Linked DNA regions of Kluyveromyces lactis. The main gene of each other region encodes a partner of the protein of the gene in region 3 in a complex. Links are inferred from orthologs where the notes say so. Each region holds a gene or a part of one and is shown on either strand. Other genes may lie near its edges.

What was found.
Region 1: the proteins of GCD11 (region 3) and SUI3 are in contact, whole or in part, in a cryo-EM structure (PDB 6QG0), measured with the Saccharomyces cerevisiae proteins. The link is inferred for Kluyveromyces lactis from reciprocal best matches to the Saccharomyces cerevisiae genes GCD11 and SUI3. Residues at the interface, in NP_010942.1 of Saccharomyces cerevisiae: Gln248, Val251, Asp252, Met254, Arg255, Glu256, Ala259, Leu260, Gln263, Leu267, Ala278, Ile280, Val281, Pro282, Ile283, Ser284, Leu287, Tyr289, Asn290, Asp292, Ala293; in NP_015087.1 of Saccharomyces cerevisiae: Val127, Gly128, Tyr131, Ser132, Leu134, Leu135, Arg137, Phe138, Phe139, Ile141, Leu142, Arg143.
Region 2: the proteins of GCD11 (region 3) and SUI2 are in contact, whole or in part, in a cryo-EM structure (PDB 6I3M), measured with the Saccharomyces cerevisiae proteins. The link is inferred for Kluyveromyces lactis from reciprocal best matches to the Saccharomyces cerevisiae genes GCD11 and SUI2. Residues at the interface, in NP_010942.1 of Saccharomyces cerevisiae: Asp322, Asn324, Lys325, Pro326, Gly327, Ala328, Glu329, Ile330, Glu331, Leu333, Lys334, Gly335, Ile359, Ile373, Phe374, Lys401, Val402, Asp403, Pro404, Thr405, Leu406, Arg408, Arg411; in NP_012540.3 of Saccharomyces cerevisiae: Val190, Ser191, Cys192, Phe193, Ser194, Tyr195, Gly197, Ile198, Ile201, Lys202, Leu205, Lys206, Glu209, Asp210, Val220, Leu222, Val223, Ala224, Ala225, Pro226, Tyr228.

The regions. Positions count from the first base shown.
Region 1 is NC_006040.1:750,556-753,363, forward strand, and holds SUI3 (translation initiation factor eIF2 subunit beta), read left to right. Parts: upstream 1-1,387; coding exon 1,388-2,224; downstream 2,225-2,808. Other genes in the region: YAR1 (Yar1p), read left to right, coding at 273-893; ADD37 (Add37p), read right to left, coding at 2,641-2,808. UniProt on the Saccharomyces cerevisiae protein: Component of the eIF2 complex that functions in the early steps of protein synthesis by forming a ternary complex with GTP and initiator tRNA.
Region 2 is NC_006037.1:1,020,059-1,023,028, forward strand, and holds SUI2 (translation initiation factor eIF2 subunit alpha), read left to right. Parts: upstream 1-1,467; coding exon 1,468-2,376; downstream 2,377-2,970. Other genes in the region: KLLA0_A11792g (uncharacterized protein), read left to right, coding at 1-1,037. UniProt on the Saccharomyces cerevisiae protein: eIF-2 functions in the early steps of protein synthesis by forming a ternary complex with GTP and initiator tRNA. This complex binds to a 40S ribosomal subunit, followed by mRNA binding to form a 43S pre-initiation complex.
Region 3 is NC_006040.1:897,782-901,461, forward strand, and holds GCD11 (translation initiation factor eIF2 subunit gamma), read right to left. Parts: upstream 2,078-3,680; coding exon 515-2,077; downstream 1-514. Other genes in the region: GTPase-activating protein SST2, read left to right, coding at 1-377; leucine-responsive transcriptional regulator LEU3, read right to left, coding at 2,545-3,680. UniProt on the Saccharomyces cerevisiae protein: As a subunit of eukaryotic initiation factor 2 eIF2, involved in the early steps of protein synthesis.

The DNA.
Region 1 (2,808 bases), about 150 kb from region 3:
TGAAACCGATGTCAGGTCTTGAAGGCGCAGCTGACACTCTCCCGATGTAGGCGTGATCATGTTGTTCTAAAGAGAGGTGCTCAGAGATGTCCTGAATTATATTTAAAGCCTTTAGCACATCTATTTCGGAGAAAAAGAAAAAGTAACCTTTTAACATGAAAAATTGAAAAGTTCACAGAATTTGGATTATGAGATGAGATGAGCTAAGATATGAACAGAGAACAGGAAAACTACGCAATCAAGCCCAAAATACAGAACGAAATTATTGTAAGATGAGTCTACATACAGGACCTTTAGATCAAGAAGATCAAGAAGCTATCATCGTTGATGCAAGAGCTGGAGATTTGGAGTCTCTTAAGGATATTTTTACCACTTTGATAGATCCAAGTGCACTCATTGAATGTACAGATGAATTGTCTAAGTCATCTGCCTTGCATATGGCAGCCGCCAACGGTCATTTCGAGGTGGTAAAATATCTACTAAGCATTTTCCCAAAGGATAAACTAAAGGAATGGGTCAACAAGCAAAACGAAACAGGTAACACTGCATTGCACTGGGCTTCGTTGAATGGTAAATTGGATATAGTACAGCTTCTTTGTGAAGAGTATGAGGCTGATCCATTCATCAGGAATAATTTCGACCATGATGCCATCTACGAAGCTGAAAACAACGGACAAGAAGAGATAGAAACATATTACTTGAAGAAGTTCGACGTGGAACCCGAATCGACCGAAAATGAGGAAGAAACTTCATCGGAAAAGGAAGGAGAACAAGCCTCACAGCCCGCATCTATCGACAACGTCCAATTTAGAGAAGGTACAGAGATTGAACAAGTGACCAAAGAAGCTACAGAAGCTCTAAGAGAGCAAACTGAAAAGCTTCAACTAGAATAAGTTTCCTCTGAAAATGAACCGTGGTCAAAAAAAAATCATTCGGCTGGAAAGCTGTATTGTGGCCAATTTGAGCATAAAATATGAACCAAATGTCCATGTACATAACTGTATACTAATCATCAATAAACATAGGTACACCTACCTCATGCGCCCAACAAGCGGAGTTTTATCTAACCAGACTCAAAGGCCAAAGAATAGATAAGTCACGTGTGTTACCCGAACACTGAACGTGCACAATGACAACACTATCGCGTGGCCTGGGAAAATTTTGAAAATAGTGAGTTTTCGGAAAACCAAGAGAATTGAAACGACTGGATCGCAATTGTCATCGCTATTCAATATCCTATTGGATTCTTCAGCTCATATTTGCACAAGGGTAAGACAACTTCTGTGGAAATCTGTTGGCAAGAGTCTAGTTCGTGTAAAGTTCAAGGCCCTTTCCGTTATTACTAAGGAGATTAGCAAGAAGCGAGAAGATACAAAGATACTCAACGATGACTGATGTTGCGGCCGACTTAGGATTCGATCCAACGATGAAGAAGAAGAAGAGCAAGAAGGTAGTTCCGGAAGAACTGATTGCTGCTTCCACCGAGGGAACAGATGATCTTTTTGCTGGTTTGAAGAAGAAGAAGAAGAAGAGCAAGGAAGGTGAAGAAACCACTGAGAAGCAAGTGGACGACATTTCAGATGCTCTAGGCGAATTGAAGTTGAAGAAAAAGAAGAAGAAGGCTGCTGCTGCCGAGAGCAGTGTGGATGACTTTGAGAAGCAATTAGAACAAGCAGGTATTTCAGTCGATGATATTGCCAAGGAGGCCACTCCAACTGAAATCGATTCTAGCATTCAACAAGATGTTGGCCTACCATACCAAGACCTATTGTCTCGTTTCTTTAAGATTTTGAACACAAATAATCCTGAATTGGCCGGTGATAGATCAGGTCCAAAGTTCAAGATCCCTCCACCAATCTGTCAAAGAGATGGTAAGAAGACTATATTTGCGAACATCCAAGAAATTAGTGAAAAATTACAAAGATCCCCAGAACATGTAATCCAGTATCTATTTGCGGAATTGGGTACCTCAGGTTCTGTTGACGGTCAAAAGAGATTGGTCATCAAGGGTAAGTTCTTGCCAAAGCAAATGGAAAATCTATTAAGAAGGTATATTCTGGAATATGTCACCTGTAAGACTTGTAAGAGTATCAATACCGTATTGAAGAAGGAACAATCGAACAGATTGTTCTTCTTGGTTTGTAAGAGTTGCGGTTCTACTAGATCCGTTTCCTCCATCAAGACCGGTTTCCAAGCCACCGTCGGTAAGAGAAAGAGAATGTAGATTAATTGATATGACGTATCAAAATAGTAGTATCATTAACATCTACCGAAAAATCAGAAAAAACTTCGACAATCTTCTAATGTTCAATACGATACAGTTCGAAAGGAATCAAATAAACCTCATAAGGCATAGCTAATATATTCATGGTTGAATATTTTCTCCAGGGAGCATCGCATCGTGCAATTCACACATAACATATGAATAACACCAAATACTTGAAAAGAAATGAGAATAGAAGGTATCTTCATCCTTCTTTCACGTTCATTATTAATTTTTTTTCTGTTTGTGTATGTTATCTAATGGTTTTTATCTAATCTGTAATTTAGTTGTTATAAACAAAACGACGAGATCAATGCTCTAAAAGATCAATTTAAATTTAAGCTCTATAATCTGAAACCCTTCCCCCAGTTAAAATATCATATCTGTGCATTTTCGATCAATTTACGGAAAGAAGGACACCACGAATTCACCGACATATCCGACAGCATCCATTTTGTAATTAAATCTGTAACCCGTTTTGAATCGTTCAAGTTGGCGAATATTTCACTCAACGCATATCTTGTGCCCTCGTTTTCCAATACATT
Region 2 (2,970 bases), on a different chromosome or scaffold from region 3:
CAGATACTCCCAACAGTGGAGATCCGCATTATTTACATGAATACTGGTATCGAGATGGTAAAATCTTAAGCATAGAAGTAAACACTACAACCGGAGCATCATTAGTTGTCACTAGAGGTGCATCCGGAAATTCCATCTTCAATGTGGATCCCATAGTAAAGAAGGAACCTGACAGTTTTGATTTATTCCAATTTGGTAAAAACACCAAACCCGCCTCTGCAAATATGTTCACGCCAGGGTATGTTCTTGCACAATTTAGTGCAGAAGATACGTACGAAGACATGGTTCGGATCGAAGAACCCCACTTGATAAAGTCTATTCAGCTTGTTGATACTATCCCAGTGGTCGAATTTCACAAGATTGGATTGCTATACATGGGACCCAATGACACAACTGAAAAGGATATATTGTCACACTCTATGGAGGATGGATCCCATCAATACAAATGGTTTGTTAACGAACTCGGATCAATAATAAAACTTGATCAAAATGAAACTTTTTACATCGGCGGTTTGAATCCTGGTACAGATGGAGAGTACGCGTTGATCTGGCATGATCAAAAATGTCAAATCGTGTTCCATACTGTATCCCTAATGCCTAACGACGACAAAGCAGATCCAGATCGAACAATGAAAAAAAGACACGTTGGTAATAACTTTATCAACATATATTACGATGAACGAAAACAGGACTCGTTCCCGTTTGACATAATCAAAAGTCAATTCAATTTCATAAACCTTGTCATCAAACCAATGTGGAACGGCAAAGATGAAAAAGACTCTGTGAGTGAATTCTATAAGGTGAAGATTTACAGAGCAAAAGAAGTTCCTGGTATATTCTCTACATCCCACTTCAAAATCATGCATAGGCAGCGCCTCGCAGCGTATGTCAGGCATTTATGTACTGTCGCAAACACATTCGCACAAATTTGGCACGAGTCCGTATCGTCAGAACACTGTTCTACATGGTCTCGCAGATTCGCACACATCAAAACAATCAAAACGAGGCTAAAAAATCAATCTTCTGGCGCTTCTTAGCACGATCGCATCTAGTATGGGTTACTGGTAGTTAGTATCTCTGCAGCTTAATACCTGAGGGCCATTAGTAGTAAGTAATGAAACTTAATTATAATAGTTAGGTCACGTGTAGTACATCACTCTTAACGAGCAGATCTAAAAATTTTTCGAAACTGTGATGCGAAGTATCAAAAAATTGAAAAGATTGATCATTGGAAAGCATATACAATATTGAAGCAACAAAGCAATTTCAATATCGGTATACAAAGGTTTCCAATTAAGCTTCGAACTTACGCGAGCAGTCTCTGATACCGAGGAATTTAATTTATCTGTATCTTGCGATAGATAACGATTACAAACAGAGTATACTTTCTTTGAGTTTGTGGTATATCTTCCAATTGAAAAATTACACAAGAATTTATCATCAGAGCCATTAGATATACAGAGCAGGATGTCCACTTCCAATTGTAGGTTTTACGAGAACAAGTTCCCTGAAGTTGATGATGTTGTGATGGTAAACGTCCAACAAATCGCTGAAATGGGTGCTTACGTTAGATTATTGGAATATGACAACATTGAAGGTATGGTTTTGTTATCTGAATTGTCAAGAAGACGTATTAGATCTATCCAAAAGTTGATTCGTGTTGGTAAGAATGAAGTTGTCGTTGTATTAAGAGTGGATAAGGAGAAGGGTTATATTGATTTGTCTAAGCGTCGTGTTTCTGCAGAAGATGTCATCAAATGTGAAGAAAGATACCAAAAGTCCAAGGCCGTACATTCCATCTTGAGACAATGTGCTGAGAAATACCAAGTATCATTGGAAGATTTGTACAAAGCTTATGCATGGCCTTTAAGTCGAAAGTACGGTCATGCTTACGATGCCTACAAGATGTCCATTGTGGACCCTAACGTTTGGGATGGTATTGAATCTATCAGCGACGAAATTTTCCAAGAATTGAAGGGCCAAATCACCAGAAGATTGACCCCACAAGCGGTCAAGATCAGAGCAGATGTCGAGGTTTCATGTTTCAGTTACGAGGGTATTGATGCTATCAAAGAAGCCCTAAAATCTGCTGAAGAGTTGTCCACTGAACAAATGCAAATCAAAGTCAAATTGGTGGCTGCCCCATTGTACGTCATCACCACCCAATCTTTGGACAAAGATCAAGGTGTTCAACTATTGGAAACTGCTATCGCAAAGATCGAAGAAGTCATTCTAAAGTACAATGGTGTCTGTAATGTCACAATGGCTCCAAAGGCTGTCACCGCCACTGAAGATGCTGAATTACAAGCACTATTAGAATCCAAGGAATTAGAAGGTAGATCAGATTCCGAAGATGAAGACTCCGATTACGAATAGATGGTTTAAAGTGAAACCAAAAAAAAAGGAATTAAAAAGATATACTTCTACTGCTTCCTGTTGTTATACGTGTATACAGCGTTTCGATACCTATAAGTCTTTGCATGTCCTCTCTCCATTTCTTACTTCACTTAACATTGCATTATATTTACTGATGAAGATGAAACAAAAACAAAAGGCCATTTTCTAACAGATGTTCAGGTAATAAACCTATGTTTCCACTTGACTGTGCAGAGAACTACTCTAGCATTTGAACAGGTGGTATCTGCCAATTACTGTCAGCCTTTCCATTCGATTACGACTGGACGTTTTAAAGGATTTTTACATTAGGAAACTCCCATTTTCCTTTTTTCTAGTTTCTTCTTATAATAATAAAGGGAAGCTCCATAAATCCTTATTTTGAAAAAAGAGTGAAAAGTCTTTAAAGTACAACGAAACGAAACTTCTATGTAGTAACATTAGCACATCGGGTATTTCATTTAAACGTGTATAATAAACTAATTCGAACGTCAACGTAATTTGCATTTATTCACAGCCTAGTTGGGATCCTGTATGGTATTTCATCGCTAGGCCAGGAAAATAATAAGAAAAAAA
Region 3 (3,680 bases):
CTGGAATAATATTCCACCCTCAGTCTCCAACTAAAACTGCGTTCGACACTTCAGGCAAGGAAAATTGTTCAAGAGCCATTTCGGATGCATCTGTTAATAGACCCTTAAGCCTCGATCCTGCTGCCCGGAAGAAATGCGTGGAGCATAAAGTACAATCCCATAGTAACACGTCAATGCCATTGGCGCCGACACCTCTTAATAAGGGTACTGAGTCATACGTCATTATTCATGCTATATCAATGTTGAAGGATTTGTATCAGTTACTGGAAAAAATCAGAAATACCGTATTTATCATGATGAAGAACGACTCTTTGCCCAAATTCCTGGCAACAGAATCGTATAGGGACGCAATTTCATTAATAACTGCTAACAAGTAGAACCTAGGCATTTCATCATGAAGAATAAAGATATTCATCTTGCAAAAGAATGTGGCCTTTTCTACCAAGAAAATGGAACATTAATGTGACAATATATACATATAGACATATATAAAATCATTTAGTTAATTTACAGATTAAGCGATTGGTTCAAGAGTGGTACCCTTCTTGATAGTAGCCCAACCAATTAAACGCCAATGCTTTTCGATACGTCTAGATAATGCAATCTTTTCATTAACTTCTGTACATGCAGGGGAAGTTAATTGTAATCTTGCCATATCGGCTTTGACGGCAACCACACGGGCACCAGTAGCGGTGGAACCGATGTTCACCATTAAAACTTCATTTGGCTCTAACTTTCTAACCTTTGCTTGTTTTTGACCATCGGTCTTTACACCTAATAGACGACGCAATAGGAAGTAGTTAATTTCGATATCGGTGTAGATAGATGGCAAATGGCCCTTAGCACCAACGACTTGACCCACTAGACGATCTGCTCTACATAACGTTGGATCGACCTTAGTACCAACACCAATCAAACCACCTGGAACGGCGAATTTTAGGTCGTTGTGTTCAGCAAATAGGGAAACGATATTGGAGAAAATTGGCTTACATTGAATCTTACCATGATCATCTTTAGTGACGATACCTGGTCTAATTTCGATCTCATCGCCTAATTTGAAAACACCAGTCAAAATGGAACCACCGGCAACACCACCCTTCAAATCTTCGATTTCGGCACCTGGCTTGTTAACATCAAAGGAACGAATGACAATCAATCTCGGAGACGCTAAGAAGTCTCTTTGAGGAACAGGAATACTTTTCACGATGAATTCATTCACAGCATCAATGTTATATTTCAATTGGGCTGAGATTGGAACGATTGGAGCACCATCAGCGATGGTACCTCTAATAAATTTCAAAATAGATTTTTGATGTTCCAGAGCAGAGTCTTCTCTCATTAGATCGACTTTGTTCTGTAAAATGATAACGTGCTTCAACTTCATAATTTCGATAGCAGCCAAATGTTCAGAGGTTTGTGGTTGAGGACAGGATTCGTTACCTGCGATTAGAAGTAGTGCTGCATCCATAACGGCAGCACCAGACAACATGGTAGACATTAAAATATCGTGACCAGGACAATCGACAAAGGAAACATGACGGACTAGTTTATAACGTCCACTGTAACCTGGAAGATCAACCTTTGGTGCAACTTCTTTGTCAGATCTGAAAGACTTATAACAGTCTGGTTCTGGGCATTCTGGATCTTCTGCTTTATAGATTTTGGCATTGGCGTAACCTAATTTAATGGTAATATTACGTTCTAATTCATCCTTGAAACGAACGGTTTGAACACCTGAAATAGCTCTCACAACGGTAGATTTACCGTGAGCGACATGACCGATAGTACCAATATTGATAGTGGCTTGTCTATTGATAATTTCTGGTGATAGAGGGTTCAACTTGGAAAAATCTGGGTTCGTTGGTTGCTCTGGAAGACCACCACCTTCTTCAAATTCTCTCTTTCTACGTTCTTCATCCGCTTCCACATCATCAATCCCACTGAAAGTAACAGTCTTCTTAGGCTTCACTTCATCAAAAACTTGCTCCTCTTCTTCAACCTCAAATGTATCTATTGGCTCATCATTAAGATCCCCATTGATGACAATACTTGGCTCTTGGTTTTGCAAATCAGACATCCTGAACTTTAGGTATTATAAACAATCAGAAAAAACTATCACTAGATATCCTTTTTGATACTTTCCCAAATACTGCACCTGGCCGTTCTATTCTCTGGAATTAAACTCGGTTGCTAACAAGATCTTTATACCTTTACACCTTCATTACTCATCGAGATTAATCATATCCACATATATCTACTCAATTCTGTTGAAACTGATTTCGAATTTGGCATTCTTACAATTCAAAAAAATTTTCGATACAAAGTAACGATTTCGTACAGAAAGAGAAATCTGGTGGTATTTTCGATCACGTGATTATGTTTTAAGTACTTGGAAAATGTGCATAACGACATCTGGTTTTGCTTAGGTTTCTCGCCAGTGACAGGTTAGCAGTTGGTGTCATTTCGCAGTATCAATCTGTTAACCGATGATTTAATTCGTCTTATAATAAGTATTTATAGAAATATATAACCAATAATTTAATATTACAACGTCGGATTGAATGCGAATTCGTTCATTAGAATGTCGACATCTTTCCAAACAAGATCTGATTCCCAGTTGTCCCATCTTTCCGTAAGACCTGGAGAAATTGAGGGCGTATCTTCCTTTCTGTTTTCAGTTCCTTCTGATATTATCGATTTTGTAACGGACTGGAAGGATTGCGGTATTGGTGGCTCCAACAACTCATTTAAGGACTGCGCAGCAGGATTGATCTTTCGAGTCGGTTTACTATGATTTGACGGACTTGAAACCCTAAATTGTGGGGAGTTCGTTTTCTTGGCGGTGGTAGAATGGTTTATGAGTTTATTGTCTGTGACGGCGTTCAAAGGATTTAGAGATCTGGGATAACCGCTAGTTTCAACATTGGAAGCACCAGCATGTGTGTTTGTAGGTGATACTATGATATTGTTGCTAGGGGAAGATGAAGATGGCATTGTACCATTTTTCTGTTTCTGCAAAATCTCGTCCTTTGGGGACGTTTTGTTTAGGATTGATTTCAATGACAAAACGTCACTACTATGTGAACCGTTCGGAGATGTAATATTGCTTCCACTGGACTGCTGTGCATTGATGGGCTCTGGGTCAAGTGGAATGGTAGATATAATCCTTCTGGCATGTTCTTCGGAATACCCATCGTTGGGCAGTAGTTCTTTGGACTCTGCATCTCCGTTATGGTTATCGCCACTATTTTCATCATCAGAGGAGACTGTCTTTTCTCTTTCTCTCTTTAGTTTTGCCATACCGCACTTCTGTCTTAATATGAACAAGCAGTCAAAGAAAACACTCACAGACATTCTAGATCTTATGGTAATACTCAAGTTAAAATCCTTTTCTGACTGTGTTGAAGAGGAACTTTGGTCTTTCTTCGCTTTCCACTCTTCGAACATGTTGCTGAACATGCTCCATATACTTCTCATAATACCAGCTGATCTATAAGCCATATCGTACTTGAGGACAGAAGCATTCGAAATTAATGATACAGCATCTTGATAAACTTCATGACCAGTATCGACATCGATAATTGAGCCCAATGAGGAATGGACTAGCTTTGATATTATTGATGCTGCCTGCCATATATTAAGAACATAAACACCTGGAAGATATTTCACAGCTAGTGGAT